Linked DNA regions of Stegostoma tigrinum. The protein of the gene in region 3 binds, or shares a complex with, the protein of the main gene of each other region. Links are inferred from orthologs where the notes say so. Each region holds a gene or a part of one and is shown on either strand. Other genes may lie near its edges.

Evidence for each region.
Region 1: caska (region 3) and lin7a share a complex: the UniProt entries of both Homo sapiens proteins name them as parts of the brain-specific heterotrimeric complex. The link is inferred for Stegostoma tigrinum from reciprocal best matches to the Homo sapiens genes CASK and LIN7A.
Region 2: the proteins of caska (region 3) and protein lin-7 homolog B are in contact, whole or in part, in an NMR structure (PDB 1Y74), measured with the Mus musculus proteins. The link is inferred for Stegostoma tigrinum from reciprocal best matches to the Homo sapiens genes CASK and LIN7B. Residues at the interface, in NP_001271432.1 of Mus musculus: Ala405, Arg408, Ala409, Glu411, Val412, Glu415, Ile416, Tyr419, Glu421, Asn422, Asp424, Ala425, Glu427, Leu428, Ile431, Leu432, Gln434, Phe437, Ala439, Leu440, Leu441, Thr443, His444, Val447, Ala448; in NP_035828.1 of Mus musculus: Leu10, Asp13, Val14, Arg16, Ala17, Leu20, Leu21, Arg23, Leu24, Ser27, Glu29, Leu30, Pro31, Pro32, Lys34, Leu35, Ala37, Leu38, Val41, Leu42, Ser44, Phe46, Cys47, Ile50, Arg51, Tyr54.
Region 4: the proteins of caska (region 3) and nrxn1a are in contact, whole or in part, in a crystal structure (PDB 6NID), measured with the Homo sapiens proteins. The link is inferred for Stegostoma tigrinum from reciprocal best matches to the Homo sapiens genes CASK and NRXN1. Residues at the interface, in NP_001354650.1 of Homo sapiens: Pro500, Met501, Gly502, Ile503, Thr504, Leu505, Lys506, Ala516, Arg517, Val549, Gln553, Leu556; in NP_001317021.1 of Homo sapiens: Lys468, Glu469, Tyr470, Tyr471, Val472.

Annotation. Positions count from the first base shown.
Region 1 is NC_081371.1:40,158,679-40,166,540, forward strand, and holds the start of lin7a (protein lin-7 homolog A), read right to left. Parts: upstream 3,004-7,862; 5' UTR 2,755-3,003; coding exon 2,718-2,754; intron 1-2,717. UniProt on the Homo sapiens protein: Plays a role in establishing and maintaining the asymmetric distribution of channels and receptors at the plasma membrane of polarized cells.
Region 2 is NC_081391.1:19,469,120-19,476,089, reverse strand, and holds the start of protein lin-7 homolog B, read right to left. Parts: upstream 3,015-6,970; 5' UTR 2,994-3,014; coding exon 2,957-2,993; intron 1,180-2,956; coding exon 1,061-1,179; intron 1-1,060. UniProt on the Homo sapiens protein: Plays a role in establishing and maintaining the asymmetric distribution of channels and receptors at the plasma membrane of polarized cells.
Region 3 is NC_081365.1:43,395,447-43,402,876, forward strand, and holds the start of caska (peripheral plasma membrane protein CASK), read left to right. Parts: upstream 1-4,421; 5' UTR 4,422-4,977; coding exon of another isoform or gene 4,978-5,036; intron 5,037-7,430. UniProt on the Homo sapiens protein: Multidomain scaffolding Mg(2+)-independent protein kinase that catalyzes the phosphotransfer from ATP to proteins such as NRXN1, and plays a role in synaptic transmembrane protein anchoring and ion channel trafficking.
Region 4 is NC_081362.1:50,233,479-50,240,339, forward strand, and holds the start of nrxn1a (neurexin 1a), read left to right. Parts: upstream 1-3,850; 5' UTR 3,851-4,060; intron 4,061-4,214; exon of another isoform or gene 4,215-4,357; intron 4,358-6,861.

The DNA.
Region 1 (7,862 bases), on a different chromosome or scaffold from region 3:
TCACCACAATTCCAGGCAGTGTATTCCAGTCCTGACCCACTCATTGTGCGCAAAAGGTTTTCTCTCATTACATTCATTCACTGCCAGATCTGGCTGGGCCATATAAACCACCATCATCTATTGCAGAGTGCAAAGATAAACCACAACTTCTTTGTTCTTCCACAAACAAACTTGTGAAAGCCCTATTTCTTCCAGTCTTACCCATGTGTATGTGGAATTTGCGGACTTCCTTGTCACTGAAATTAAGTTAATCTGCTACTGCCAATCCTTCCCCAGCCCATCTGACGAAACTCCGTCAAATGTCCCCCTCCCAAATTTGAATCTGTTTTTAGTTTCTTATCAATTTGCTTCTCCTCCACTTACTCACATGAAGCTCTTCTTCCCTCAACCCTACTTCCAGTAAATTGTAACCCATCTCAAATTCTTTACTCATGTTAGCTGACATTGTTAAATGATTCTCTTTCTTTTAGTTCATCTCCCAAATGTGCACATCTCTTCCAGAACTTCATGTTTAAATTCCTCAAATCAATTCTTCCCAGCAGTGTGCCAATATTACTCCTATCAAAGTCACAAATATCATCATGCAGGTCTGAGACAAAAGTAAAATATCCCTCATTCTTCTCCACTTCTCTGCAAACTCAGGCATAGTTGACTACAAATCCTTTCCAATGCCTCTCTAAAGTCATCAAGATGGTTGGGTCTGCACTCAACTGCTTTCATTCCTATCTGTCTAGTTATTGACAGAGAATCATTTACAATGGCTTGTCTTTGAGCTCCAGGATGTTAGGCATCCCAAGATCAATCTTTGGCCCTTGTTTCATCTCTATATCCTGTCTTTTGGCAACATTACACAAAAGCATTGCCAGTTTCCACATACCTCCTGTGACTTTATCAACTTGCTCAATTGTTGCATTTTCTCGTCACTAATAGACTGCTTGAATGACATCCAGAAATGGATGAGGAAAAATTTCCTCCCATTAAGTACTTACAAAACTGAATCAATTATGTCTCCACCAAAAATTCTGCTCCTTTGTCATCCTCATTCTTCTTCCTCCCGATTGCCCAAACTCAACTTTAACAACTGCATGTTTGGCACTTAGGGGCTTCACATCACTATAACTGCCTATTTCCACCTCAGTAAAATCATTGGATTCTGAACATACTGCCCCTTCTCTGCTGTTGAGGCCATCATTTGTAGAGTCATAGATATGTAAGTCATGAGAACAGATCCCTCATTTCAACTCCTCCATGCTGACCAGATATTCTAAATTAACCTAATGCCATCTGCTAGCATTTGCCCATATCCCTTGTGTGTTTGTCACACCTAGTCTTCACTACTCTATTGTACTCTTGACTGGCTTCCTACGTTCTACCCTCTAAACTTGATTCTATCAAAATATCTTCTGCCCACATTCTTAGTTGCACCAAGTACCATTTGTCCAAAAACTGTCCTTGGTGACTTGCACCGGCTCTTGGCTAACTGGCACCTTGAAATTATTGTTTTCCCCTTGTTTCTAAATTATTTCATGTCATAATCCCTCCCTCCCACTTTGATTTCCTTGAGTCCCATAATGGTCCAACATATCCACATTTCACTAATTCTGGCCTCTTCAAGCTTTGCCAAATTTAAATGCTCCACCATTGATGTCTGCCTTGAGTTGCTGAGGTACCAAAAGCTGGAATTCCTTGTCCACAAGTCTCCAACTGCATCAGGTCCTTCCTTAAAATCTACCTTTTGAGGAAACTTTTGGTCATTTAATCTAATGTCTATGAAAAGAAACAAACATCGGTGGATCCACTTGAAACTTTTACTTCACAATGTTCCTGTTGTAGTGCAAAATTGTATTAACGTGAAGTGTTACATGAACAAGTCATTACTGTTAGTTGTAACTAGTTATGAGCGCCAGGGCTCTCAGTTTGAGACTAATCTAAAATAGCAACTTCAAAGAGCGTGCAAATCAGATGAACTCTTTTCATTTCATCTCTAATTAAAGTCTGATGGTTATTTGTTCTCGTTCCTGAATTGCTATTTCAAATATGCCCTAATCCATCTCGTTGATACACGCAGCCGACCCTTGCAACTACACACTCCTCCTTACACGCAACAGAAAGTGTTACATATAACAAGCAGCTCCGCGAAATATTTAATCGCAGCTTAAATATTAAAACCTTGATTTTAACAACTGAACGTGGCAGGGATATGATTTCGCAACAGAACTGTCTAGGGCGCATTTAGAGAGAAAGCCGATGCCTCCCAGCCCTCTGATTTTCACTGTCGGTCCAGTTATCAAACAAACCGACTGCAAGATAATTTCCTAAAGACGACTTCGTCCTCCATCAGCCGCAATCTCTTCAAGTCCGGAGGGAGGAGAGGAGAAGGGCGAAGAATATATTCCCTTTGATCTGTTTCTTTTCAAGTCTTGCAGACAGCAAACGGAAATTGCCGTTAAAAGAAAATGTCTTGCTAAATGTAATCTATCAGTGGCTTCTGCGCGTTTAACACATTCAGTGGAAAAAAAAATTGCTCCCCAGCATCAGTAAATCTGTCTCCAAACCGTCACTGTGGTCCATCAACGCTACAGGGAACATAAATACTCAAAAGTAAAGACCAATCACACTTCAAGCCACAAAAGCCTTCCAAACTACAATTTTATTTTGTCACAGATTGAGGAAACACTCGGGAGGATTGTGCAGATAAATTACGACTGTTCCCTTACCTCTTTCCAGCGTAAGCGGCTGCAATGTTGTCGCCATGTCTGCAACAGCTTCAGAAAAGGAGGCGTGAGATGGCAGGCAGTGTGAGAAAGGGAGCACTGGCTGGAATGATGCGGCTCACACTGCAGCCACGAGGGGCACAGAGAGAGAGAGAGAGACAAACAGCGTTCATCAGCCACACACACACATCCAACCTCCAATGCACCTCACTCAGGCTGGATTGTACGAGGCACGTACCATTACTAAGTAGCAATGGAAGTGCGAAAGACCTGAGACGCGCTGTTCAGTATCAGCCATTACCACTTCAACATTACCCGGAAGATTAGAAATTTGCAGCAGCAGAGACAAGTTCAGATGTTCAACGAAAAGCACAGCTGGCCGGACAGCATCCGAGGAGCAGGAAAGTTCGGTCCGAAATGTTGCCTTTCCCGCTCTTCGGATGCTGTCTGACTACTGAGCTTTCTCAGCTCCACATTTACTGACGCTTGCTTCCAGCATCTGCCGTCTTTACTGTCCTCAAGTTCAGATATTCAAATCAGTTCAAAATTTGAAGTTTGTGGCAGAATTGAGAGACTGAAGAACTAAAGTATCTGAAATACTAATTTCCAGATATTAAATTTAGTGAATTTACCAAAAGGTCTCCCCTTCATCTGCAATAAATAAAGGCAAATGTCTTAATAAAACAAAACGTCTAGTAGGGGAAAAAAGGAATGACTACTTTCTTAGAGATGAGGGCTTTAAGCATGAGATGTCCACTCAACGCTGAAGAACGCAGATACCATTCCCCTAGGCCAACGAAGATCCTTATTCAATTGGTTAATGCAGTTCTCCAAGGCAACATCAGCACTGATTTTAAGGATTATTATTTAATAATATTGCGTCTTGGCAACAAATTGGTAGGTCTGCCACATAGTTGTTTAAAGCTGCAGTGCAAATTGCTTAGGCACTTTAGTGGGCAGAATCGAACTTATCTAAACTTAGTTTTATAAAATATAGGGGAAGATCTTTCAATCATGGCCATCAAAAACAAAGTTGCTGGAAAAGCTCAGCAGGTCTGGCAGCATCTGTGAAGAAAAAAAAAGAGTTAATGCTTCTGGTCCGGTGACCCTTCTCTGGTGGGAGGTTCTGAGGAATGGTCACCGAACCTGAAACTTTAACTCTGCGTTTTCCTTCACAGATGCTGCCAGACCTACTGAGCTTTTCCAGCAACTTTGTTTTTGATCCTGATTTACAGCATCTACAGTTCTTTCGGTTTTTATTTCAATCATGGCCAGTATGTCTCTCAGCACTATTCTCCTGCCTGCTCCCTGTAATTGTTGATTCCCTTGCTGATCACAAACCTATCCGTCTCTGTCATAAATAAACTCATGTATTGACTTATGTTTAAAGTTTGCCATTTATACACCACCTTTCATGACCGCTGAACATCCCAAAGTGATTTGCTGTGAATGAAATACTTCTGAACTGTAATTGCTGATTGGAAACAGCAGATTTCTGTTTGTCAGGGTTTACAGTGTACATTGTGATAACAACCAGGTAACTTACCTTTGTGATGGTCACTAAGGAACAGACATTGGCCTGAACACCATGGATAACTCCTTGCTCCACAAAATAATGCCATTGTTAAGATATTTGATTTCCAACTGGGAAAGGGCTTGTTTAATCTCTAATCTGAGAGAGGCATGTTCAACAGTGCAGAACTTTCTGGGACTTCACTGGAATGTCAGCCTACATTTTTGTACTCAAGTCCAGGAGTGCAAATTCAAACCACATTTTATCGCCCAATGTAATGTAATGTAACCAATCAAATCAAGGGGAGGCAATGGCCAGTGGTATTATCACTGGAGTGTTAATCCAAAGACCCAGATAATGTTTTGGGGGCCCAAATCCTATCATGGTAGATAGTGGAATTCAAATTCACTAGATATCTGGAATTAAGAACTAATGAAGACCATGAATCCATTGTTGGTTGTTGGGAAAAATCCATCTAGTTTGCCAACATCCTTTAGGGAAGGAAATTGCCATCCTTACCTGGCCTACATGTGACTCCAGACTCACAGCAACAGGGTTGACTTTTAACTGCCCCCTGGGCAATTAGGGGTTGGCAATAAATGCTGCCTAACCAGTGTTGTCCTTGTTCTGTGAATGAATAAAGAATAAAAGTATGGCATTATCACATAATTTCATATCCATCTGTCCCATTAAATCTTCCTTAAATTCTTTCAATCTTCTTTCCAATCTGCCCATCCATTTTCAAGACTAATGGTTAAAGCCATGAGCTTACTGAATGTTAAGGTTGAGTTTAGGACTCACAGAATACCCTAAAAAGCTAATCAAGATTAAGCAAAGGGTTAAATCAAATCCATAATGTAATTAAGACAACAAAATGTGAGGCTGGATGAACACAGCAGGCCAAGCAGCATCCCAGGAGCACAAAAGCCGACGCTTCGGGCCCAGACCCTTCATGAAGGGTCTGGGCCCGAAGCGTCGGCTTTTGTGCTCCTGGGATGCTGCTTGGCCTGCTGTGTTCATCCAGCCTCACATTTTGTTGTCTTGGAATCTCCAGCATCTGCAGTTCCCATTATCCATAATGTAATTAGTCAGGGAAAACACACAGACAGGAGACAGCAATTCATTGGTTGTAGAGGGCAAACAGGTTGATGAAGCTACTCCCTGAGACTGCAGGTAGCAGCTTCTCTCCTCTTTTTGAACTAAGAATTACAGTGTGAAATAGCTCTTCTTTTGGTCTTTCTCCATCTGAACAAACCCAATTGTCAGGCAAGATGCACACTTTATCCCTCTGCACCTAATATATATTTCACAAGGCCACTTCCTTGAATTAGATAGAGGTAATGGTAGGTGTCTTTTCCCTAAGGTGGGGGGTTTCAAGACTAGGGGACACATTTTTAAGGTGAGAGGAGAGAGATTTAAGACCATAAGACCATAAAACCTAGGAGTGGAAGTAAGGCCACTCGGCCCATCAAGTCCACTCCGCCATTTAAATCATAGCTGATGGGCATTTCAACTCCACTTCCCTGCACTCTTTAAAAAAGACATGAGATGTAAATTTTTTACATGGACGATGGTTCACATGTGGAATGAACTTCCAGAAGAAGTGATGAATGTGGGCTCAATTACAATGTGGGACTGCACTTTCTCACCCCCAAACTGAATTTTTAATTCGATCATACTATGGTCACCAATCCCTAGGGGGATCCTTAACTATCATATCATCAATTAATCTCTCCTCAATTCACAACACCAAATATGGAGTAGCCTGCTCCCTGGTTAGTTCCACAACATGCTGCTCAAAGAAACAATCTCTAATACATTCTATGAACTCTGCCTCCATGCAACCTTTGCCAATTTGATTCTTCCAATCTATGTGTATGTTAAAATCACCCATGATTATTGCCATACCTTTCTTACAAGCCTCTAATATTTCCTGATTTATACTGTGCCCCACTGCTGAAACATTGTTTGGAGTCCTATAGATTACTCCTACCAAGTAGTTCTTCCCTTTGCTATTTCTTATTTCAATGCAGACTGATTCCACATCTTGATGTCCCGTGCTTATGTTATTTCTCATTATAGCTCTGATCCTTCCTTCACCATCAAAGCTACACCACCTCCTTTTCCTTTCAGCCTATCCCACTGAAATGTTGAGTACTCTGAATTCCTAGACCTGGTCTCCTTGTAACCATGTCTCAGTAACTGTAACCAAATTGTACCCTTTTGCTTCTATTTGTGCCATTAACTCGTTAATTTTGTTTCAAACGCTTTGTGCATTTAGATACAAAGTTTTTAAATTTGTTCTACTGTGAAATTTCCTTAATCTTTTATAAATTCTTGGTGCATAAAGACAATCACCTATTCTGTCCCATACCTTTATTATCTGGTAACCATCCGCCACATTGCTAACCTGCACTCTTACCTCCTCCTTTAATTTGTGTTTTCTAATTTCCCCTACAACTGAGCTCCCCGCCCCCCCACCCCCGGCTTAATTTAAAGCCCTGTCAATAGCCCTAGTTATGCAATTGACTAGGACTCTGGTCCCAGCGTAATTTGGGTAAAGACCGGCCCATCGGAACAGGTCCCTTCTTCTTTAGTATTGGTGGCAATGTCCCATGAATTCAAACCCATTTCTCCCACACCAATCTTTAAGCCACACATTCACCTGCTTAATCATATTGGCCTTGTGCCAATTAGCTCGTGGCTCAGGTAGTAACCCAAAGATTATTAACTTTTTGGCTGTTTTTTTAATTTAGCTCCTAGCTGTTCATACTCCCTTAGCAGAACCTCTGTCCTAGTTTTATCTACGTCATTGTTACCTACATGGACCACACCAACTGGATCTTTCCCTTTCCACTCCAAGTTCCTCTGCAGCCCAGATGTGAGATCACCCACCCCAAGTACCAGGTAGGTGACATAACCTTAGGGATTCTCAATCCTGGTCACAGAGAACACTGCCTATACCCCTAACTATACTACTTCAAATTACAACTACGTTTCTCTTCTTTCCCGCCAACTTGAATGGCTTCCTGCATCATGGTGCTGTGGTCAGTCGGCTCATCCTCATGGCAGTCCTCGTTCCTATCCATACAGGCTTTTCATGGTGGAGGACAAAAGTACCATTCCTACTAGAACAGGCAAGTCAAAGACACTAGGAAGGGTAGTTCTTAGAACAATCAACATCAGTAGGGAAAAGGTACTCAGCAAACTATCAGGATTGATGACAGACAAGTCCCCCAGACTGCTGGCCTGCATCCAAGGGTGTTAAAGGAAGTGGCAATGGAGATAATGGGTCCATTGGTAACAATATTCCAAAATTCTCTGGATACAGGAAAGATTCAAGTAGATTGGATAAAACGCTAATATAACATGCTTATTCAAAAAGGTGGGGGGAAGGCAATATGTGGGAAATTACAGAACACTTAACATAACATCTGTTGATGGCAAAGTTTTAGAATCAACTAACAAGGAAGCAATATGAGGACATATGGAAAGTCAAAACACTATTCATCAGAGTTAGCATGGCTTTATGAAGGGCAAATCATGTTGGATTAATTTGCTAGAGTTCTTTAGAGATGTAACAAGCAAAGTGGGTAATGGGGATCTTGTAGATGTAATATATCTGAACTTCCAGA
Region 2 (6,970 bases), on a different chromosome or scaffold from region 3:
TCAGATTCTCCAGCATGTGCAGTTCCTAATATCTCCGAAACATTGTTAACTCCACTGCAAAGCTTCTTCTAAGGATGCCTAACTTGAAGAAGTTACCCTCCTCCCTCCAGGAAGACCTCAGTGGATCTCTTTCCCGCTGCAATTCTCGCTTAATCTCTTTGGCCCTGAAACTGCTCCTTTATCCATCTGCTATCTACCTCCCCACCTCCCTATTTATTTCAGAATCCCCTTCCCCCTCCCCCCATTTCTGAAGAAGGGTCTAGGCCCAAAATGTCAGCTTTCCTGCTCCTCTGATGCTGCTTGGCCTGCTGTATTCATCCAGCTCTACACCTCGTTATCTCCGATTCTCCAGTATCTGCAGTTCCTACTATCTCTGAAACAAGGTGTTACTGGCTAATCTTCACTGATGCTGTAAATGGACATTAAGTCCAAGTATATTTTTCAGTTAAATTTGGTAGGAATATTCTCTGTAGTACAGGCTAAGATGCCAGAAGATACAAAGCTTGGGCAAAACTACCTTATTATTCATGATGTGTGTAATTGCAGTCTGATAATTTCTCATTAAAGACTTGATTATCGGAATTGACTGGGGACATTTTGAAACATACTTCTTGATCTGGACAGGTGAGCTACATAGAATTCACAACACAGAAACTGGCTAATTGATATTAATTGGTCTAAGCCAATATTATACACCACAGAGGTCTTCCCCACTACCCCTCTCTGCACCCCACACTCTTAACAGCATAACCTTCTATTCCTTTCTCCCATATATGTTCACCAGCTTCGCCAAAAATATATCAATGCGGTTCACCTCAACTATTCCATGTTGTAGTGAATTTTAAATTCTCACTGCACTCTTTGTTAAAATTGTACATGTTAGAAAGAGTAAAATTCATTTTTAATCAAATGCAACAGTAATATGTGCAAATAAGCTTCTTTCCTTCAAAGGCTGACGCATGCAGAAAGAGCTACAATGCACAAACACATTTGCTGATGTTGAGTTTAATGAGCGCATGCATTTAGGGAGCAAAGCTATAGTCGCTGATTGCGTACTGACCTCTCGGATGGCAGAGCAGAACTTGCTCTGAAGAACTCGCTGCAGCGTCTGCAGTTTCTGCGGGGGAACATTGCCGCTTCGCTGTAACTTCTCCAGCAGCTCGATCGCTCTGGTAACATCTAGACCATGCAGAAAGCAGAAATTAAGCAATTGGCTTGCAGGTAGTGTTCAAGCTTGACATTTCTGCCCCATCCCTGGCCAGAAGTATTCTTGCTCCGTCTAATTTATTTTCTGGTGTGTGGCAGTGGCTTCTGAAACCAGTCTGGGAACCCGTGCTTCACTGACAGCCACTTGCAATAATTAACTTGCTGCTGCTTGCCTTCTCAGGTGGAGCACAAGAGATTAGATTAGATTAGATTCCCTACAGTGTGGAAACAGGCCCTTCGGCCAACAAGTCCACACCGCAATTTATCTATAGTATACATTTCACGTATGTATCAAACCCAGATAATGTTCTGGGGGCCCAGGGTTTGAATCCCACCATGGCAGATAGTGGAATTTGAATTCAATAAAATATCTGAAATTAAGAATTTAATTATGACTGTGAATCCATTGTCAATTGTCAGGAAAAACCTATCCGGTTCACTGATGTCCTTTAGGGAAGGAAAGTGCCATCTTTAGCTGGTCTGGCCTATGTGTGACTCTAGACGCACAGCAATTTGGTTGACTCTTAAATGCCCTGGGGACAATCAGGGATGGACAATAAATGCTGCCTAGCCAGTGATGTTTTCATCCCATGAATGAATAAAGAAGCCAAAAAATATGAACAGCCCCCTGCCTATCCTACCTGTGCACATGTTAAATAGGGCATGTTGTTGTTGGGTGGACCATACAAAATCGTCAGTTATTCTGGAATGACTGGTTATTGGCTTGTTAAACACCCCACTAGCTATCTTAAAGATTTTGTTTGCTACTGCATTTTTGAGCATTGGATGTGAGAAAATTTGGGAATGTCTTATGGCACTAATGACAAGGCAGCACAATTGTGGCAGAAGTGGTCCTTTTACTGATTTTATTTTAATTAATTCAGTTGTCTATGCTCTGACACACATGTGAAATGTACACTATATATAAATACACTGCAATATACAGATAAATTGCTGAAACATATACTGATAGCTATAACTGAAACATACACGTATATCAAAATTTATTTCAGGTATCTGAAAAACATATTTCCCCACATTTTGTATCTTTCAGATACATATCAGCATGCATTTCAGTAATGTGTCCTATACTTTATAGGGGTAAACGCTAAATGTATTCAGACATATGTTTCATATATATGACATTATAGAATTCACTGATACACCTCGCATATCTTTCAGGGATATAATTATCTATGTTTCAGTATTACTGAAATAGAATTTGATAGATATACGAAATGTGCAAAAATTATTCAAAAATATGTCTGAGAGATACAAAATATATAAGTGAAGGATGATTGATAGAAAGATGTGTGGGACAAATATATGCTGATAAAGTTATGAGACATTGTTAACATGTATATTGACCGGGCTGATTATATACATTTACAGATTTAAGAATGAGACGTATTACTAAAATAGACACTGACACATATTTTTGTTTTAAGATATTTTACTGAACTATATCAGCCATAATTCTGGAAAAAGTCGCCATAGATCCCGTCCCCTTTCGCTATTGGTCGGTCTCCTTATATATATTAATAGTCACCTCATCCCCATTGGTCCACCCTGCTGTCAATCAGAGAGTTCAGGCTCTGATTGGCTATGCGGGTAGCGGTGTCACTCATTCATAGCTTTAACGGGATCAGGAATGAAATGCCGGTCCTTCGCGGGGTCTCGGTGGCCCCCATGGAAAGAGAAAGAGATGCGACGGCAGCAGGGTTTGAGGGTGGTCAGCTATTTCACTCACCTCTCTCCAGCGACAAAGATTCAGCCAACGCCGCCATCTTGGAGCCGGTATCACCTGACCGTGAAGCGACACGTGATCAACACCGGCGGAGCTGTAGCCACGCCCACCGCGGTGAGGGGCGGGGCCTCCCACGCCTCCTGCAACGACAGGTGTCTGGCGACAGGGGCCGCTGTCACCTTCCTCTGGCCACGATCCCCAGTCCTGCGATGACAGTCCCCGGCCACAGGGGCCGCTGACCATAAGAAATAGGAACTGAAACAGGCCATTCAGCCCGTTGAAACTGCTCCACCATTCAACAGGATAGTAGCTGATCTGACAGCCCTTACATGCACTTTTCCTGTCCTTTCCCTTTAACGTTTGATTCCCCAACTGATCAAGAATAATGTATGGTTACAAGATAATGTATGGCTAGGAAGGGGTGAACGCTGGGAAGTTGTTTCTGTTAGGCAGGGAGACTAGGACCCGTGGGCACAGCCTTAAAATTAGAGGGGGTAAATTTAAAACTGCAATGAGACGACATTTCTTCAGCCAGAGACTGGTGGGCTTGTGGAATTCATTGCCATAGAGTGCAGTGGAGGCCGGGACGTTGGATGCCTTCAAGGCAGAGATAGACAAATTCTTGATCTCACAAGGAATCAAGGGCTACGGGGAGAGTGCAGGGAAGTGGTGTTGAAATGCCCATCAACCATGATATAAATGGCGGAGTGGACTTGATGGGCCGAATGGCCTTACTTCCACTCCGATGTCTTATGGTCTTAATCTATTTCACCATTAAATAGACATAAGGTACCTCACAGCCCTCTCTGTGAAGAAATTTTTCCTCACCTCAGTCTGAAGTTGCAGCCCTTTTTTCTGAGACAAGCTGTTGGAGGGAATCCCTACACACAGGACTTACATGTATTTGGAAAGACAAGGACTGATTAGGGAGATTCAACATGGCCTTATGCTTTGCAAATCACATCTAACTAACTTGATTGACTTTTTTGAAGAGGTGAGGAGGATTGATGAGGGCAGGGCGGTAGATGTGATATATGTGGACTTCAGTAAGGTGTTCAACAGGGTTCCTCATGGGTAACAAAGTGTGGAGCTAGATGGACACAACAGGCCAAGCAGCATCTTAGGAGCATAAAAGCTGACGTTTCGGGGCCTCGACCCTTCATCAGGTTTTTGGTTAGCAAAGTTAGATCATGTGGAATGTAGGGAGAACTAGCCATTTGGATACAGAACTGGCTGCAAGGTAGAAGGCAGAGGGTGGTAGTGTAGGGTTGCTTTTTGTACTGGAGGCCTGTGACCAGCCACAAGGATTGGTACTGGGTCAACTGCCTTTCATTGTTTGTATAAATGATTTGGATATGAACATAGGAAGTATGGTTAGTAAGATTGTAGATGACACCAAATTGGAGGTGTAGAGGACACCGAAGAAAGATACCTCAGTGTACAATGGGATCTTGATCAGTTGGGACAATGGCCCGAGGAGTGGCAAATATTGTTTAATTTCAATAAATGCAAGGTATTGCATTTTTGGAAAGGCAAATCAGATCAGAACTTACACAGTTAATGGTAACGTTCATAAATCATAGAATCCCTACGGTGTGGAAACAAGCCCTTTGGCCCAGCAAATCCACACTGACCCTCAGAACATCTCACCCAGACCCGTTCCCCCTATAACCCACCTAATCTAGGCATCCCTGAGCACTACTTTTGACTGACCTAGCCTGCACATCTTTGGTCTGTGGGAGAAGACTAGAGAACTTGGAGGAAACCCACACAGGCGCAGAGAGAATAAGTATTTTCCACACAGGTGGTCAGCTAAGGCTAGAATTGAACCCAGGTCCCTGACACTGTGAGGCAGTAGCGCTAACCACAGGGCTACCATGCCACCCCAAGGTTCTGGGGATTGTTGCTGAACAAAGAGACCTCGGAGTGCAGGTTCATAGCTCTTTGAATGTGGAGTCACAGATAGACAGAATAATGAAGAAGGCATTTAGTGTGCTTTCATTTATTGGTCTATGCATTAAGTACAGGAGTTGGGAGGTCATGTTGCGACTGTGCAGGACATTAGTCTGGGCACTATTGGAGTACTGTGTGCAAATCTGGTCTCCCTTCTATGGGAAGGATGTTGTGAAACTTAAAGGAGTTCAGAAAAGATTTACAAGGATGTTCCTGGGGTTGGAGGGTTTGAGCTACAGGGAGAGGCTGAATCGACTGGGGCTGTACTCCCTGGAGAGTCGGAGGCTGAGGGGTGACCTTATAGAGTTTTACAAAATCATGAGGGGGATGGAGAGAGTGAATAGGCAAGGTCTTTTCCCCAGGTTGGGGTAGTCCAAAACTAAGGGGCACGGGGATAAGGCGAGAGGGGAAAGACTTAAAAGGGACCTGAGGGGTACCTTTTCACACGGAGGGTGGTGTGTGTATGGAACGAGCTGCCAGAGGAAGTGGTGGAGGCTGGTACAATTACAGCGTTTAAAAGGCATCTGGATGGGAGGGTTTAGAGAGATATGGGCCAAATGCTGACAAATGGGACTGAGTTAGATTGGGATGTCTGGTCAGTATGGACTAATGCACTGAGAGGTCTATTTCTGTGCTATTTGACTCTATGACTCCAAGTCTGTATCTGACATAACCAAGCACCTGAATATTGTAAAGTGAAAGGAGGATCTGAGATACCTCTCTCTCATCATCATCCAAGGCTACAGAAACACCTTTCAGGTGAAGGAGTGAATTACCTGCACTTCTCTCAATCTAGTGTACAAAAGAAGATAAACTATTTGATTCCAGTAAAGGAGCAGGGATGTCCACACTGTAGGTAATCTAAATATATCGTTCTGTTTTTGATCTCCTTGTCTGAGAAAGGACATTCTTGCTGTAGAAGGAAGAACAGCGAAGGTTTATCAAGATTGATTTCAGGGTTAAGAAAGTGTGGAGCTGGATGAACACAGCAGGCCAAGCAGCATCTTAGGAGCACACAAACTGATGTTTCAGGCCTAGACCCGTCATTAGAAAAGGGGGATGGGGAGAGGGTTCTGAAACAAATAGGGAGAGAGGGGAAGGTGGACCGAAGATTGATAGAGGAGAAGATAGATGGGGAGGAGAGTATGGGTGGGGAGGGGATAGGTCAGTCTGGAGAGGATGGACAGGTCAAGGGGGCGGGGTGAGGTTAGTAGGTAGGAAATGGAGCTGCGGCTCGAGGTGGGAGGAGGGGATAGGTGAGAGGAAGAACAGGTTAGGGAGGCGGGGGCGAGCTGGGCTGGTTTTGGGATGCAGTGGGTGGAGGGGAGGAGCTGGGCTGGTTGTGTGGTGCAGTGGGGGGAGGGAACGAACTGGGCTGGTTTTGGGATGCAGTGGGGGAAGGGGAGATTTTGAAGCTGATGAAATCCACATTGATACCGTTGGGCTGCAGGGTTCCCAAGCGGAATATGAGTGGCTGTTCCTGCAACCTATGGGTGGCATCATTGTGGCACTGCAGGAGGCCCAGGATAGACATGTTGTCTAAGGAATTGGAGGGGGAGTTGAAATAGTTCGTGACTGGGAGATGCTGTGTTCGTCCAGCTCCACACTTTTTTTATCTCAGATTCTCCAGCATCTGCAGTTCCTATTATATTTGATTTCAGGTTTGGCAGGTTTGACATATGAGGAGAGATTGAGTCAGTTAGGATTCTATTCAGTGGAGCTGAGAAGAATGGGGAGGGACTCTCATTGAAACCTACAGAATTCTACCACGTCTAGAGAGGTTAGATGCAGGAAAGACTGGGGAGTCCAGAACCAGGGGGCATTGTTTAAAGATAAGGGGTATTCTTTAGGATTGAGATGAGGAGAAATTCTTCACCTATAGAGTAACGAGCATGTGGAATTCACTATCACAGAAAGTGGTTGAGGCAAAAACATTGTGTTTTCAAGAAGGAGGTAGATATAGTTTTTGTTTTGTGGCTAAAATGATCAAGGAATATAGGGAGAGGGGAGGATTAGGGTATTGAGCTCAATCAGCATGATTATACCGAATGGTGTAGCAGGCCC
Region 3 (7,430 bases):
TCAAACCACACTGGAGCCTAAACAAACAAATGAAATCAGATGCACCACATTCAATGTAGACCCCAGAAGTAGAATAGGCAGCAAGTAACATTTGCATCACACAATTGCCAGATAATGATAACCTCGAAAAGGAAAAATATCTAAGCTTGCGATGTCTAATACAATGATTTCCGACAGTCCTTGTCTCCGACAGGTGATCTCACTGGCCACCCTTGTTTCCTTGTCATGTATGTCTCTGACAATCCATCTCACCGCCTGCCTGTAATTCCTCACAGTGAGCATGTTGATTACTATGCCTCTCTATGAGTTCTGCTTCCAGAAGCTGTAGAGAAAAGTTCATGTCTTTATCAGGATTTTCTTGCTTGTTGCATTGTGTTTCAGTTTGGTCCAGAACGACTTTCATTTCAAAAAAAAGTATGTTCTGTGATAGTATTGTAAATAAATGAATAAGAAATATATTAGGAACAGATGTGTGAAGTCTGTATATTAAAGTACTAGATGTATAGGAGCATGATGTCTGTGCGAACTCTCTGCAGCAGCAGCTCAGCTGGTCCCATTTTTCTTCCTGTTCCCTGCAGGCCTGAGTTTATTTTCCTCAGCTATTTATCTGCACGTGGATGAAAAGTTAGGATGGGAGCTGTTGCGCCCACATCCAAAATTTGAATAACGCAAGCCAATCATGGGCCCTGGAAACAAATCACAACATCAAAAATGACTTGCGGTGCCACTACATTAGAAAGCAGCTAGCAACATTCTGAATGTTCCAGAGACACGGGTTGACCAGCAGCAGAGTAATGTCTTGAATTACATGGTGAAGCAATAAGAAGGAGTAATAAACTGGGAACATATAAAAAGAAACCAGAAAAATGGGAAAATAAATTTCTGTTAACAATTGTAAAAGATGAGCATTAGCCTCATATGTTCATGTGTCATAAGTGGATATTAATAAATGAAAAGGGGAATTTGGTTCAACACCACTCAATGATGCAAAGTGAACTCAAGGACAGTTTTCACTTAAACAGATTCAGATAAAAAAAATATTAGTGAGCTGAAAGCCTTTTGAAAGTTCTACAGTCATGTTTTTCTAAGGCAGCAGCAAAGCCTGCACTGAACAGAATTTTGCATTTGTCATCTTCTGGTAAAGTGCAGGAAATTATTGCCTGATGGCAAAGTAATTAAAGAAACAATGACTGCAGCCACAGACGCTTTATTCAAAGACTTTAAGGACAAGGAAGAAATAATTATTGCAATCCAGAGCATGTCACTTGGTGTTTCCACAGGACCAGGCCAAATGGAATCTTTGTCTGAAGACATCTTTCAATAGCTACATCAGGGTCTCAAGGACTGTGACTACAGTTTTATGACTGCATTAACATGCAATGAGCTGTCAACCAGTACATGGTTATTTTGCTTCAGGTTCCTAACAGACATAATGTCAAAAACTGAATGAGGTGTTAAGTGCAGGAAACAGACAGAGTCTAGCATTTATAACTAGGGTTGTGAAGGCGCTCAAATTGAAATTGGGTCTGTGGTTATCCCAAATGAAAAATACACTGCAGCACTTTCCCAGCCTGGAGAAAATACTAGACAAAAATACAAGGAAAAACCAGAAAACCTCAGTGCACTTCTGACGAAGTTAGTAGAAGAATTCAACATATGATTTCAGGAATTAGGTGTAATGGAACAAACCATCATATTTGTCTCAAATCATTCCTTCAAGTAGACTTTGGTAGAAGGCTACCAAATTCCATCAGGTGTTTGATTTACAAGCAATGATGTTGCTACAGAGATAATTACCGGGAAAATGACTTTGAAAGTCAGATCAAAGGACATAAGCAAAAAAATTACCCACTCCTGATATCCTGTGCTTTTAATGCGGAAGCTTAGTTTGACTCCTTATTCCTCTGTGAATCAGCATTCTTTCAAATGATAAGGATGAATAGACAATAGACAATAGGTGCAGGAGTAGGCCATTCGGCTCTTCGAGGCAGCACCACCATTCATTATGATCATGGTTGCTTATCCACAATCAGTATCCTGTTCCTGCCTTATCCCCATAACCCTTGATTCCACTATCTGTAAGAGCTCTATCCATCTCTTTCTTGAAAGTATCCAGAGACTTGGCCTCCACTGTCTTCTGGGGCAGAGCATTCCATATATCCACCACTCTCTGGATGAAGAAGTTTTTCATTAACTCTGTTCTAAATGGCCTACCCCTTATTTTTAAACTGTGTCCTCTGGTTCTGGGATCACCCATCAGCAGAAACATTCTTCCTGCTCCAGAGAGTCCAATCCCTTAATAATCTTATACGTCTCAATCAGATCCCCTCTCATCCTTCTAAACTCAAGTGTATACAAGCCCAGTCGCTCCAATCTGTCAACATATGATAGTCCCGCCATTCCAGGAATTAACCTCATGAATCTACACTGCACTCCCTCAATAGCAACAATGTCCTTCCTCAAATATGGAGACCAAAACTGCACACAATACTCCAGGTGCAGTCTCACCAGGGCCCTGTGCAGCTGCAGAAGGACCTCTTTGCTCAAGTACATGTTTTGCATCTACCTCACAAATAATCATTTGATGGACTGTATATGACTAGCTGTTTCAAAGTACAAGCCAGACATCAAGGCACAGGCATATAATGTGCAGACACCGAAACTTGACGAGTGAAGACAGAGTTCAGTAGCACTAAAATAAACTTTTTATTCTATATTTTCTTCAGGGTAAATTCATAAAGTGATCTTGCATTTAAAAAGGTTGGAGGTAACTGATCTAAGCATTTCCCCTTGACATTCAAAGGCATTACCTGTGTTGAATGTTCCACTATGTACAAGCTGGGAGTTACCAGCAAAAAGAAACTGAGCCAGAGTAGCTATATAAACTCTGTGGCTGTAGGGACAGGTTAGGAGCCCAGAATTAGTTGGACTGAAGGGTCTGTTTACATACTGAGTGACACTATTAGCCTATATTGGTACATGAACAGGAAAGGTTCAGAGGGATATGGGCCAAATGCAGGCAACTAGGACTAGCTTAGTTGGGGAAACTTGCTTGGCATGGACGAGGTGAACTGAAGGGCCTGTTTCTGTGCTGTATGAATCTATAAATCTTTTCACCTCCTGTCTCCCTAAGCCTATCACCAACTAGAAGTCACAATTAGAGTGTAAGAGAACAGTTTTTTTGCTCACCTGGATAGGTGCAGCTCCAACCAATTTTTCTAAACAACCTGTTCAGAGAAGTTATTACACACCTTTGGAGGAGGTGGGGCTTGAATCTGGGCCTCTTAGTCCAGGGATAGGTACACTACCACTGTGCCACAAGAAGGCCTCGAGGTACAGCTCCACCAACAGTCAAGAAGATTAATAGTATCTGGGATAGAGTGGTCTGCTTGATTGGCAGCCCATTCAACACCTTCACGCTTCATTTCCTCCCCCATATTTGCTCAGTGACATCAGTTTGTACCCTTTACAATGTGGACTAACAGCATCTTCAAAACCATGACCTCCACCACACAGACGCACAAGACAGCCAATGCATGGAAATACCTAATCTTGCAAGTTCCCGTCCAAGCAACACATATTCTTGATCGATCCTTCACTGTCACTGAGTTAGAATCCTGGAACTCTCTTTCAAACATCACGGGGTGGCGTGGGGTGGGGTGTTACCTTCAGCCCAAGGAAAGTGGCGATTCGCGGGTGATGGCGAATAAATGCTGGTCTAGTCAGCGAAACGCACACCGCATTGACGAATACAAAACTAGGAATAGGCAATCTTGTCAGTATCACAATGTGGACTAATTTGGCTTTTGCATTACCTGAGTTACAATGGTGACTTTACAGATAGGTGGGAGAGGCATGCTTGGATTTAAATACGTGAGAATTTTAAAGCTGTTGAAATTGGGGAAACAGGACACAATATAGGTCAGCGCGGATAGGATGAATGAAAGGCATCAGTGATTTTAGGAAAGAAAACTCACATTGATGTAGTCTTCAATACAAAGATTGACCAGGATAGTATTAAAATTATGTAATTGTGTGACGGCGAAGGCCTGGAAGAGCAAGGCAGTGGCCACTGGCTTTTCAGTACTATATTCAACCGAATCTTCTATCACTCCCGTTTATTCACCAAGACATGTAATACAATAAATCATTTTAACACATAAAATATGTACTCAAACTGGGTCGTCTATTTTAGAACGAGGAGCACAGTTTCCTTTGTTTGGGTTAAAACCTGCCGTTTTGATGTGTAAACTGTCGACAAGGTGTAATTTGCTAAAACCACCGACGCGTGAGCGCACGCGCTACACGCAGGTGCTGCAGCCATCCAGGTTAACGCATGCCCAGCACTGGTTTGGCCACGGCCGGTTTGGCCTTCAAGCGCATGCGCAAACACTGTACCTCCATCTCGCCGCGAGCTCAGTGCTGACGCAGCCAGAGTGCGGGCAGTCGGGGAGCGGGCGTTGATTGGTGGTTACCTCCCTGACCAACCGCCGCCGCCTGAAACTGTAGCGGCGCAGCGACAGGGGACGGGCCGACACTAGCAGCCTACAGCACGACAGGGCGAAGTGTTAACATGGTCCGACGAGCGCCGACTGTAATATATTAAGACCTTTCTTTCATTGCGAATTATTCCCGGATTTTGGCCTGGATTTCCAGGGAGCAGTTCTATACAGAGAACAGAAGCCTTGGACTGTGGATTTTTTTTAAGGCAGTGAAAAAGAGAAGGTGGGGTCGCCAGGAGGAGGGCAGCGCCAAGCGTAGCCCAGCAGTCTGCTTTACCCGGCTGCTTCACTATCAATCAGTCTTCGTTTCGCTGGTGCTGTCTGGAGGAAAAAAAATCTTTTTCATTCATTGTGTCCTGAATTCTTTAACTGATCTACACGGGAAACGTTTTGTTTTAAAGACCAATTTCCACATTAGAGGGAGTTTTTTTTTACTTTGAATTCCCTCTCAAAATTCTGATTTTAATTATCGACTATGGCCGACGACGACGTCCTGTTTGAAGATGTATATGAGCTGTGTGAAGTGATTGGCAAGTAAGTGTGTTTTTTTTAAAAAATATATATATTTAAATTAAAGTAGAAATCAACTGAAGCCAGAATATTATGGTTGTGGTTTAATTCGTGGTTTTACTTAACGGGCCCTCCCTCTGTTTCCAGTGGATTACAGGATACGGCCGAAGGATTTATTTAGCTTTTTTGCATAATAACGAAAATAATTCTGGAAGTAAATTTAAACAAATAACATTTAGAAATCAACTTTATGCGTTAGGAAACAACTCATTATTTGCTACAATTTTATGTAAAAGTGGTACAGCCCATTGTGGATATTATTTACTTTGTAATGTATGAATTGAAATTGAAATATTGATAAAGCTGCTCTTGCATCTGAAGGATACGGTGCCTCCTTTTGAAGGAGAGGAGCATCAGACATTTATCCAGGAAATAATGAGTAGTTTCGGCTGTTTCCCGCAAAACCAAGAAATTTGCATTAATTATCAACTATATTTATGTATTGTTTTGATTCAGAAAGTTTATCGTTTAACGTTGTATGATATAATCCATTTTCTTAAGTCAGGTTGAAGATCAATTTTCGTGTTGTGAGAGCACTAATGCTCCAGCGAAGCAGTCGTTCTGATGCAGTGATTTTCAGTTAAATAAGGAAAGAATGTTTTGTCAACGTACAAGATTTTAATTGTCAAGATAAACATTTGATCAAGAGTTTCTCCTTGTAGGATGGGTCATTGTTCTTTTGTATTCTTAATTATTTTAAAACACTAGTGTTCAGGACGTGGTTTATGCATGTTTATCAGCATAGCATTTTTGTATCTCATTTATTTGTTTAGACATTTTCGTAACAAATATTTACTCTTTATTATGTTCAAATGGTGGATTGTTTTCTGGGTTTTTTTGGCTATGCATTGTAATATGTTTTCAGTCCTGTTAGGTAATCAGAATAGTGTTGACAGATAATCTCAAATATCTGTAATTGAAAGTAAATAGTCAAATATGACGCTTCTTTTGCGGTTATCTTTAAAAACTCAGGCTGTATCACAAACTTTTAAATTTAGCATGTAGTTTTAGAAATGCCATTCTTACCTTTTGCATCTATCAAGATTTCTTGTTTCAAGCAAATTGTTTTAAAAAATACAGCAGTAACTTAACCCTTTTTGGGTATTCAGATTCCTGAAGAAGGGTTTTTTAAAAGACTTGTGACCTTGTATATTTTATTTTAAAATTATATGTGTAACTTGCAACTGAACAACTGAGTTATGTTAAATTCATACTTCTGTAATTTCAGCCGAGAGAAATTGGAAGATTGCAATACTAAATATATAGAAATGGATTTTTAATTCCATTTTTGCAATTGAATCTCAGAAGATAGTGTATGAATTGTTGAGAGGATACTGACATAGATGTTACAAATATTTTGAGATGAGCCTGTCTTAACAGGAAAGTATAATGACTTGAATAGTTTTGCTTTTATATTCAATTGCAGAGCAAAATAGCTGTAAATAAAACAGATTTGTGATCACATTCTTTGATTTCACAGTTGCAATTGCATTTACTATAATGCTTTTTACTAAAATTTTGCGCTCCAGTTGTGTCTTTGGTCACATGATGCTAAGTTAAACTGCATTAGTCAGTTTTACAGTACCTATTTTAGGTAGGGACATAGGAGTTGTAAAAGTATCATTCTGTTCCAATCCCTTCAAAGCCTTGCTTCATTCTGTAATCTATTTACTATGGATATTGGTGAACACACAAGCCAATTCTTTCATTTCACCACTCTTGACCATTGCCTTCAGCTGCTTAGAACCTGACTTCTGAGATCTCCTCCATAAATCATTTCACATCTCCGACATGCTCTCCTCTCTTTTAAGGCCTTAAGTTTTTTTTTAAATGTCGTGTACCTATGTAATGTTTTGGAAAACTTCATCTTGATAAAGATGTAATTTTTGTTAAGATGTTTTATTTAAAATCTAATTTAGTTCTTTAGCATTTTGAGTTTGGAATGATTTTCAGTCATCTTTGGCTAAAGAAAAGCATCCAGAGTTGACAAATTTAGTTAAAGAAACAATTAATGAAATCAGATTTCAGGAGCAAAGCCTCTAGAATCGTTCAAGGGAAAGTTGATTGCTGTGCTACTGGAGTGTGGCTTGCATCGAAAGACAACATAGAAGGTTAAAGTTGTTTTTCTTGTCAACTAAAACAACTTTTGGTGCTTAGATTCATATGCATTTTATTCTTTGTTTTTTTTCAAAATCCTGAATGTACTCAACAAATCAGACAACATCTATACAGAGAGAAATTAGTTAACTTTTGCAGGTCACTGAACTTTCATCAGAACTGAAAACATTTAGAACTAAGTAATTTGTTGTAATGGATTAAATTTTCCTCATTGTTTCCTTTCAAAAACAAAAAAACATT
Region 4 (6,861 bases), on a different chromosome or scaffold from region 3:
CTCTCCTCTCTTCCTATCTTCTCCTCTATCCATCTTCGGTCTGCCTCCCCCTCTCTCCCTATTTATTTCAGAACCGTCTCCCCATCCCCCTCTCTGAGGAAGGGTCTAGGCCCAAAACATCAGCATTTGTGCTCCTGAGATGCTGCTTGGCCTGCTGTGTTCATCCAGTTTCACACTTTGTTATCTAGGTCAAATACAGTGGTCAGGACCTGTGGATAGGGTACAATGAATCCTTGGAAGCACAGGTCAGAAGTAGATAGCTAGTGTAGATTTAAGGTTTTGTTTGTCAATCTCTTCACAAGTTGCTTCAGTAAAGTGTTGAGTTAAAATACAACAGTAGAGTCTAAATAATAAAATGTGAGGCTGGATGAACACAGCAGGCCAAGCAGCATCTCAGGAGCACAAAAGCTGACGTTTCGGGCCTAGACCCTTCATCAGTTGTTTTTCCTTGATAGTGTTCTATAAAGTCTCCCCAACTCATGCCCTCTTTTGTCTATCTCGATGTGTAATGTGCTGGAGTGAAAAAAGGTTACTGCAATCTGGTCAATATTAATTTACATTTCCCCATCTTTTTTGCTTTACAATGCCTTGACCTTTTTTATCCACATGAGTCGGCACACAGCATTTCTGTTTAGCATTACAGTCAAAAGGAAACTTCTTTCTAACAATGCCACAGATGGGTCAGCACTGGCACTGAATGTTAGTCTAACATATTGCTTTGTTCTAATGAACCTGCAAGGCTTGAACTTACAACTTTAATATCAAAAATGTCGGCATTCTTGCTCTTGAGCCAAGCTAAGTGAATAAAGGCAAAATGCTGCACATGCTGGAAATCAGAAATAAAAATAGTAGGTGCTGAACATATATCTGTGGAGAAAAAACAGAATTAATGTTTTGATTTAAATATAACTCTCCGTCAGGACAGACAGTTAAAGGGGTGTCCCTAACTCATTCATACCATGTACCTCCAAAACCTTCCCACCCCCACCCCATCCTTGAAATTAACCACTTCCCAGTTTCATGTTTTGATGGTTCCTCTTTGCATGTGAAAACAGTACAAAGTGAAACAAGGTATGAAAATGTACAGATGTAGTCTCACCTCTGGCATATCTTATATGGCCAAAGATAAGAAAATGACCTGTGACAGCTTGCTCTAACCATTTCAAGTTGAACCTGTTGGAATTTCAGGAACGCATTTACATTGCGTACACCCTGCAGACACCCGAGTACAATCCAGAAATCTCGAGCATTCATTTATCATCGTTACCCGAGGTTTTGTTTTATTGAATTCCCAAGCTCCAGTACACTTCCATCTGTCTATGTATGTGTCACAATAATGTAAATGCTTGTTTAAAAAAAAACATATTGTCTTCGGAAGCACTTTCCGCGCACACGTGCTTAAGAGTTCACTACAATACACTAAAATCATGACTGGATACCTACCAGAAATGTTTCAGCAAAGGATTGCGACGCTTTGAAAGCTCGTGTTGTAAGCAAGTAAATACATACGTGCTGGCATTAAACAAATGAAAATGTCGTGTCGCTTCAACAGTTTTGTGTCAAATCAGGCAAATTATCGTACACGTCAACATTTATTTATAAGTACTCGTTTTAGCTGGAAACATTTTGAAATTTGGGTGCTCGAATTGGGAACGCTTCACGAGGTGCTGCTTTCTAACACGGAATTAAAGACGTTATTATTCTGCTGTAAGTATTTCAAGCTGCCCACACACGGCAGCGTTCACACTCCTAAAAAGGCGAGAAGAGCAAAGCCTTGTGTGTCAGACTTACTAGAGCTGTCTCCCCGGGAGAGCACGGGGAAATAACATGACAGCGATGCACACCTACCTACCTCCCGGGAATTGGCACTTCAGCGGCGACAATACTTTTGCAGGGAGAGAAGGAAAATACAACAGATAGTAGCCGAGAGCCTGCTTTTGACACAAATCCTCCGCATAGGCTCGTCTCCGGCTGGTATTGTGCGGCTGAGTACGTGGGCGCTGGAGCAGCTCGAAGCGAGGCACCTCGGCATGGCCATACACCCCGGGCACGGCCATACACCCAGGGCATGGCCATACAACCCGGGCACAGCCATACATTCCGGACATGACCAGACACCGCAGCCTTGGCCAGACACCCCGGGCATGACCAGACACCCCGGGCTTGGCCAGACACCCAGGGCACGGCCAGACACCCAGGGCATGGCCAGACACCCCAGAGCATGGCCATACACCCCGGGCACGGCCAGACACCCCGGGCACGGCCAGACACCCCAAGCTTGGCCAGACACCCCGAGCATGGCCAGACACTCAGGGCATGGCCAGACCCCCGGGGCATGGCCATACACACAGGGCCTGGCCAGACACACAGGGCATGGCCAGGCACCCCAGGCTTGGCCAGACACCCCGGGCATGGCCAGACAGCCAGGGCACGGCCAGACACCCAGGGCATGGCCAGACATTCTGGACATGGCCAGACACCCAGGGCATGGCCAGACACCCGGGGCATGGCCATATACCCAGGGCACGGCCATACACACAGGGCATGGTCAGACACACTGGGCATAGCCAGACACCCCAAGTTTGGCCAGACACCCCGGGCTCAACCAGACACCCCGAGCATGGCCAGACACTCAGGGCATGGCCAGACCCCCCGGGGCATGGCCATACACACAGGGCCTGGCCAGACACACAGGACATGGCCAGACACCCCAGGCTTGGCCAGACACCCCGAGCATGTCCAGACACCCAGGGCATGACCAGACACCCGGGGCATGGCCATATACCCAGGGCACGGCCATACACACAGGGCATGGTCAGACACACTGGGCATGGCCAGACACCCCAAGTTTGGCCAGACACCCGGGGCACAACCAGACACCCCGAGCATGGCCAGACACTCAGGGCATGGCCAGACCCCCCGGGGCATGGCCATACACACAGGGCCTGGCCAGACACACAGGACATGGCCAGACACCCCAGGCTTGGCCAGACACCCCGAGCATGTCCAGACACCCAGGGCATGACCAGACCCCCGGGGCATGGCCATTCACACAGGGCATGGCCATACACCCCCGGCACGGCCAGACACCCCAGGCTTGGCCAGACACCCTGACATGACCAGACACCCCGGGCATGACCAGACACCCTGGGCATGGCCAGACACCCAGGGCATGGCCATACAACCCGGGCACGGCCATACATCCCGGACATGACCAGACACCCTGGTCTTGGCCAGACACCCCGGGCATGACCAGACACCCCGGGCTTGGCCTGACACCCCAGGCGTGGCCAGACACCCCGGGCATGGTCAGACACCCCGGGCTTGGCCAGACACCCCGGGCATGACCAGACACCCTGGGCTTCGCCAGACATCCCAGACATGACCAGATACCCCGGGCATGACCAGACACCCCGGACACGGTCAGACACGCAGGGCATGGCCATACACCCCGGGCATGGCCATACATCCCGGTCATGACCAGACACCCTGGCCTTGGCCAGACACCCAGGACATGGCCAGGCACTTTGGAAGCCCCCAGATACCTACGGTCAGAGCATGGCTGGGCACTCAGGGGAGCCGCTAGGCGTCCAGGGCACGGCCAATACAGCGTCAGCCACTCTTCCCAGATTAAACCAGTCATTTTGGGGCAGGCTGCTGTTTGGGGTTGGGTGGTGTGTTTTGAGGTGAGGGGCCGTGCTTTGGCGGTTGGAAAGATAAATATGGGAGCTTTTCATTGCTTCCGCTGTAAGGAGAAAAAGGGCTGCGACACCTCCTTTTTTAAATGCATTTTTTTCCCTTGATTTCCTTTAGTTTGCAGAGAGAATATGCGTCATCTTTCAGCAGGGTCTGGGTACCAGAAGGCAAGGGTTTCGCTGGCAGCGCTGTTTTAACGGGAGGCAATAGAGATGGCTTTCTCTTGACACAGAAAGATCCTGACATAGAGAAGGCAGCTATTCCTCGCCTGGGCGCGCGTGTATTTTAAATTTTAAAACGGGAATTCGTCTGAAAGATCAGCGTTCTTTCACAGCCTGGTTCAGGCCCCAGCGGGTTCTTTCAGGTACGTGGGGCTCTGTCTGTCTGTCTCTCGTTGTGCTGCCGAGCACTAATGGAATTTTCTTCGTCATGTATCGGAGCGGGGAAGCCCAGTCTTTAAGAGGCTGGCGTGAAGACAAAAAAAAACCCAATCCTGAAAGGTCTTACATCATTGCTTTACCGCGTGGAGAGATTTAAAGCCCACCCATTCCCCCAGCCCATGTCTGATCTTATCCCCCTCTTTTGTGTCCTTGGTCTTCATCAGTGAGTAAAATCCTTGCGCATCTGCAACACACGGTAGAGGGAAGAGTGCAGGAACCAGGTGAGTGGTTTAAAAGCAGCCATCACTGTATCGGAGGTTGCAGATTTAGGAGGAGAGTCTGAGGGTTTTGCATTTTGCAGACTCCATAGGCACCAACATATCAATTAAAATAAAACCGAGAGTTCCCGTTCTCCGCAGCTCCTTTCCAATAATGAATGCAAGGCGACTCACCGCTCTGTGATTGAACTCCCTTTCCCTCATACCTTACTGAGTTGATACTTTGGTTGCAAAATAAAAGTAGTTGATTACTGAATAGGATTGCTTGTCTTTGTTGAATCGTATTTCTATACTGATAGCATGTTTAAATTTAAGGACCTGTTATATTGTAGACGGAATAGAATGGATTTTTGTCCTTTCTCACTCCCCGCCAGAATTGGATGTAATTGTTGGATTTAGTTATATTATTTGGGCTACCTCCATCTGACACAGCATATCCAAATTACATCTCGGAGTACAAAAAAAACTGCTTAATTTTACAGATTGCGTTAATCATTTTGTTATGATACATGGGAAACAATACGAAGTGTCATGAGGTGAGAACGGACCGCAGCTTCCTAAGACAGGAAGCAGAAAAGAGAAATTGACATGTTAGGCGCATATCGGTAGCGTTTTCTTTTAAAAAAACATGTATCAAATTGGAGCGTTCTTTTGTCTCATAATTTCCATGCTGCGTTTTGCTGTGGTACATTGGTAATTAGATTTCCTGTCATGATTTCACTTCAGGCATTTTTACAATCCAAGAAAGGTGTGATGGCTCATTAGGTGTAGTGTGAGAAAGCTAATAAGACAATCGAAATCAAAAGGCAGAGGGAGAGAAAAGAAATGTTAACTATAAAGTGCTGGTCTATTTCTTAGGACGCTGCAACAAGTGATGTGCCAGTCAATAAAAGAATTATTGTTTTTCAGCGCCCGGGGTAGTTTTGGACGTCAGATATGTCAGGATATTGTATTCTCTACAAATGAAGCAATGGGAGTCTACTGAACCAAATGGACCATGTAACCATCAATCTCAAAGTTTTAAAATACATTTTTCAAGATCATTGTAGGACAGAAGTCTTAATATTAATCCAAAGACAGGACATATATATTTTCACTTTGGCATTTTTATGCTTTTTTGTTGGGAGTTGTAATTATCATCTTTGGAATCCAAAAGTGTTTAGCAACAAAATACAACTAATAATAATTAGTTTACATTACAGCAACTTGTCTGTCAATCTTCCAACAACTTATTTATTAAAATCTATTGAGTAAATTGGTTAAAATGACCAAATTAGATATTAAAATCCACTGAGTAATTTGGCTAAAAAGGAACTTTGCTTCCTTTTAAACTGTTCTGGAGAGCTAAGCATTTTTTTAAACAATTGAGTATCTGGTGTGAGGGAGCTCAAACAGAAAGAATTAAAATGCACATGCTGAAATGTTGTTGTTTTGGCAGGTTCAGCCATTTTGCACTAAACACAATACAAAATATTGTCCAAAAGCGGATACAAGTGCAGTCATGGTCATATATTGATTCATGTTGCTGCATTAATTGCTTCTTTTGAAGAATATTATAAAGTATTTTGATTCAGACTGGAAAATGGAATGTAAACACAGTGACCCTGCGAAATTGTCAGAAAGAAGCCAAGCTTAAAATATGAACATTGAATGAGAGAGAACTAGGAAACAGTAGGGATTATGTTGTAATTGCCCTTCATAGATTTTTCACCTGCCTTTTTGCACCTCCCTATTGCTGACAGTCACGCTCCCCTTCATTCGTTTTTTTTCCCACTATTTTCCCATTGCTTTCAAACTGTTCTTTCAACATGACCGCTTCAGTCACCAAGTAACTTCTCTCTTTTCTCCCCCTCTCCATTTTTTGCTCTGTCCATCATCTTCTCTTCTCTCTGGTACCCATGCCCCTGCTTTACTTCTGATGAAGTGCTGTCTAGACTCGAAATGTTAGCTTGATTTCTCTCCATGGATGCTACCTGATCCGTTGTGATTTCCAGCATTATTTTTTGTTTTCAGTTCAGATTCCAGTAATTTGCAGTCCCAATTTCTGTTTTCCCTCCCACATACTCCTCTATTTTGGCCGTTTCCCACATCTACCTTGAGTCTTCTCCCCCATTCTTGGCTTCTGCCCTATTTCTTCTTCAACCTGAGGCACACATCGCACCTCTCACCCCCCAACCAGTGTTCAGGCAAGCACTCGCCTTCTTTCTTTCTCTATCTTAGCCAAATTGGGTTCTTTACCCTTCCTGTCATATACGTCTGATCCAAACTGTTATTGCTTTTCCCTTTCCTTTAACAGGTTACAAATTCATTCCCACCTTTCTTCATCACAGCTGCACACTTTTCCTCTTCTCTGCCTCCACATGGTCTCAGCAGTCACCCTCTATGGCCTCAATTGGTCTGTTGTCCTTTTCTAGGCATTTTGAAAGATCTTTTGCTCCCACATCTAACTAACGAGATCTTCTCCCCAGCAGATCATGATCATCATCTACAAGCTCAGATGTTGTAGT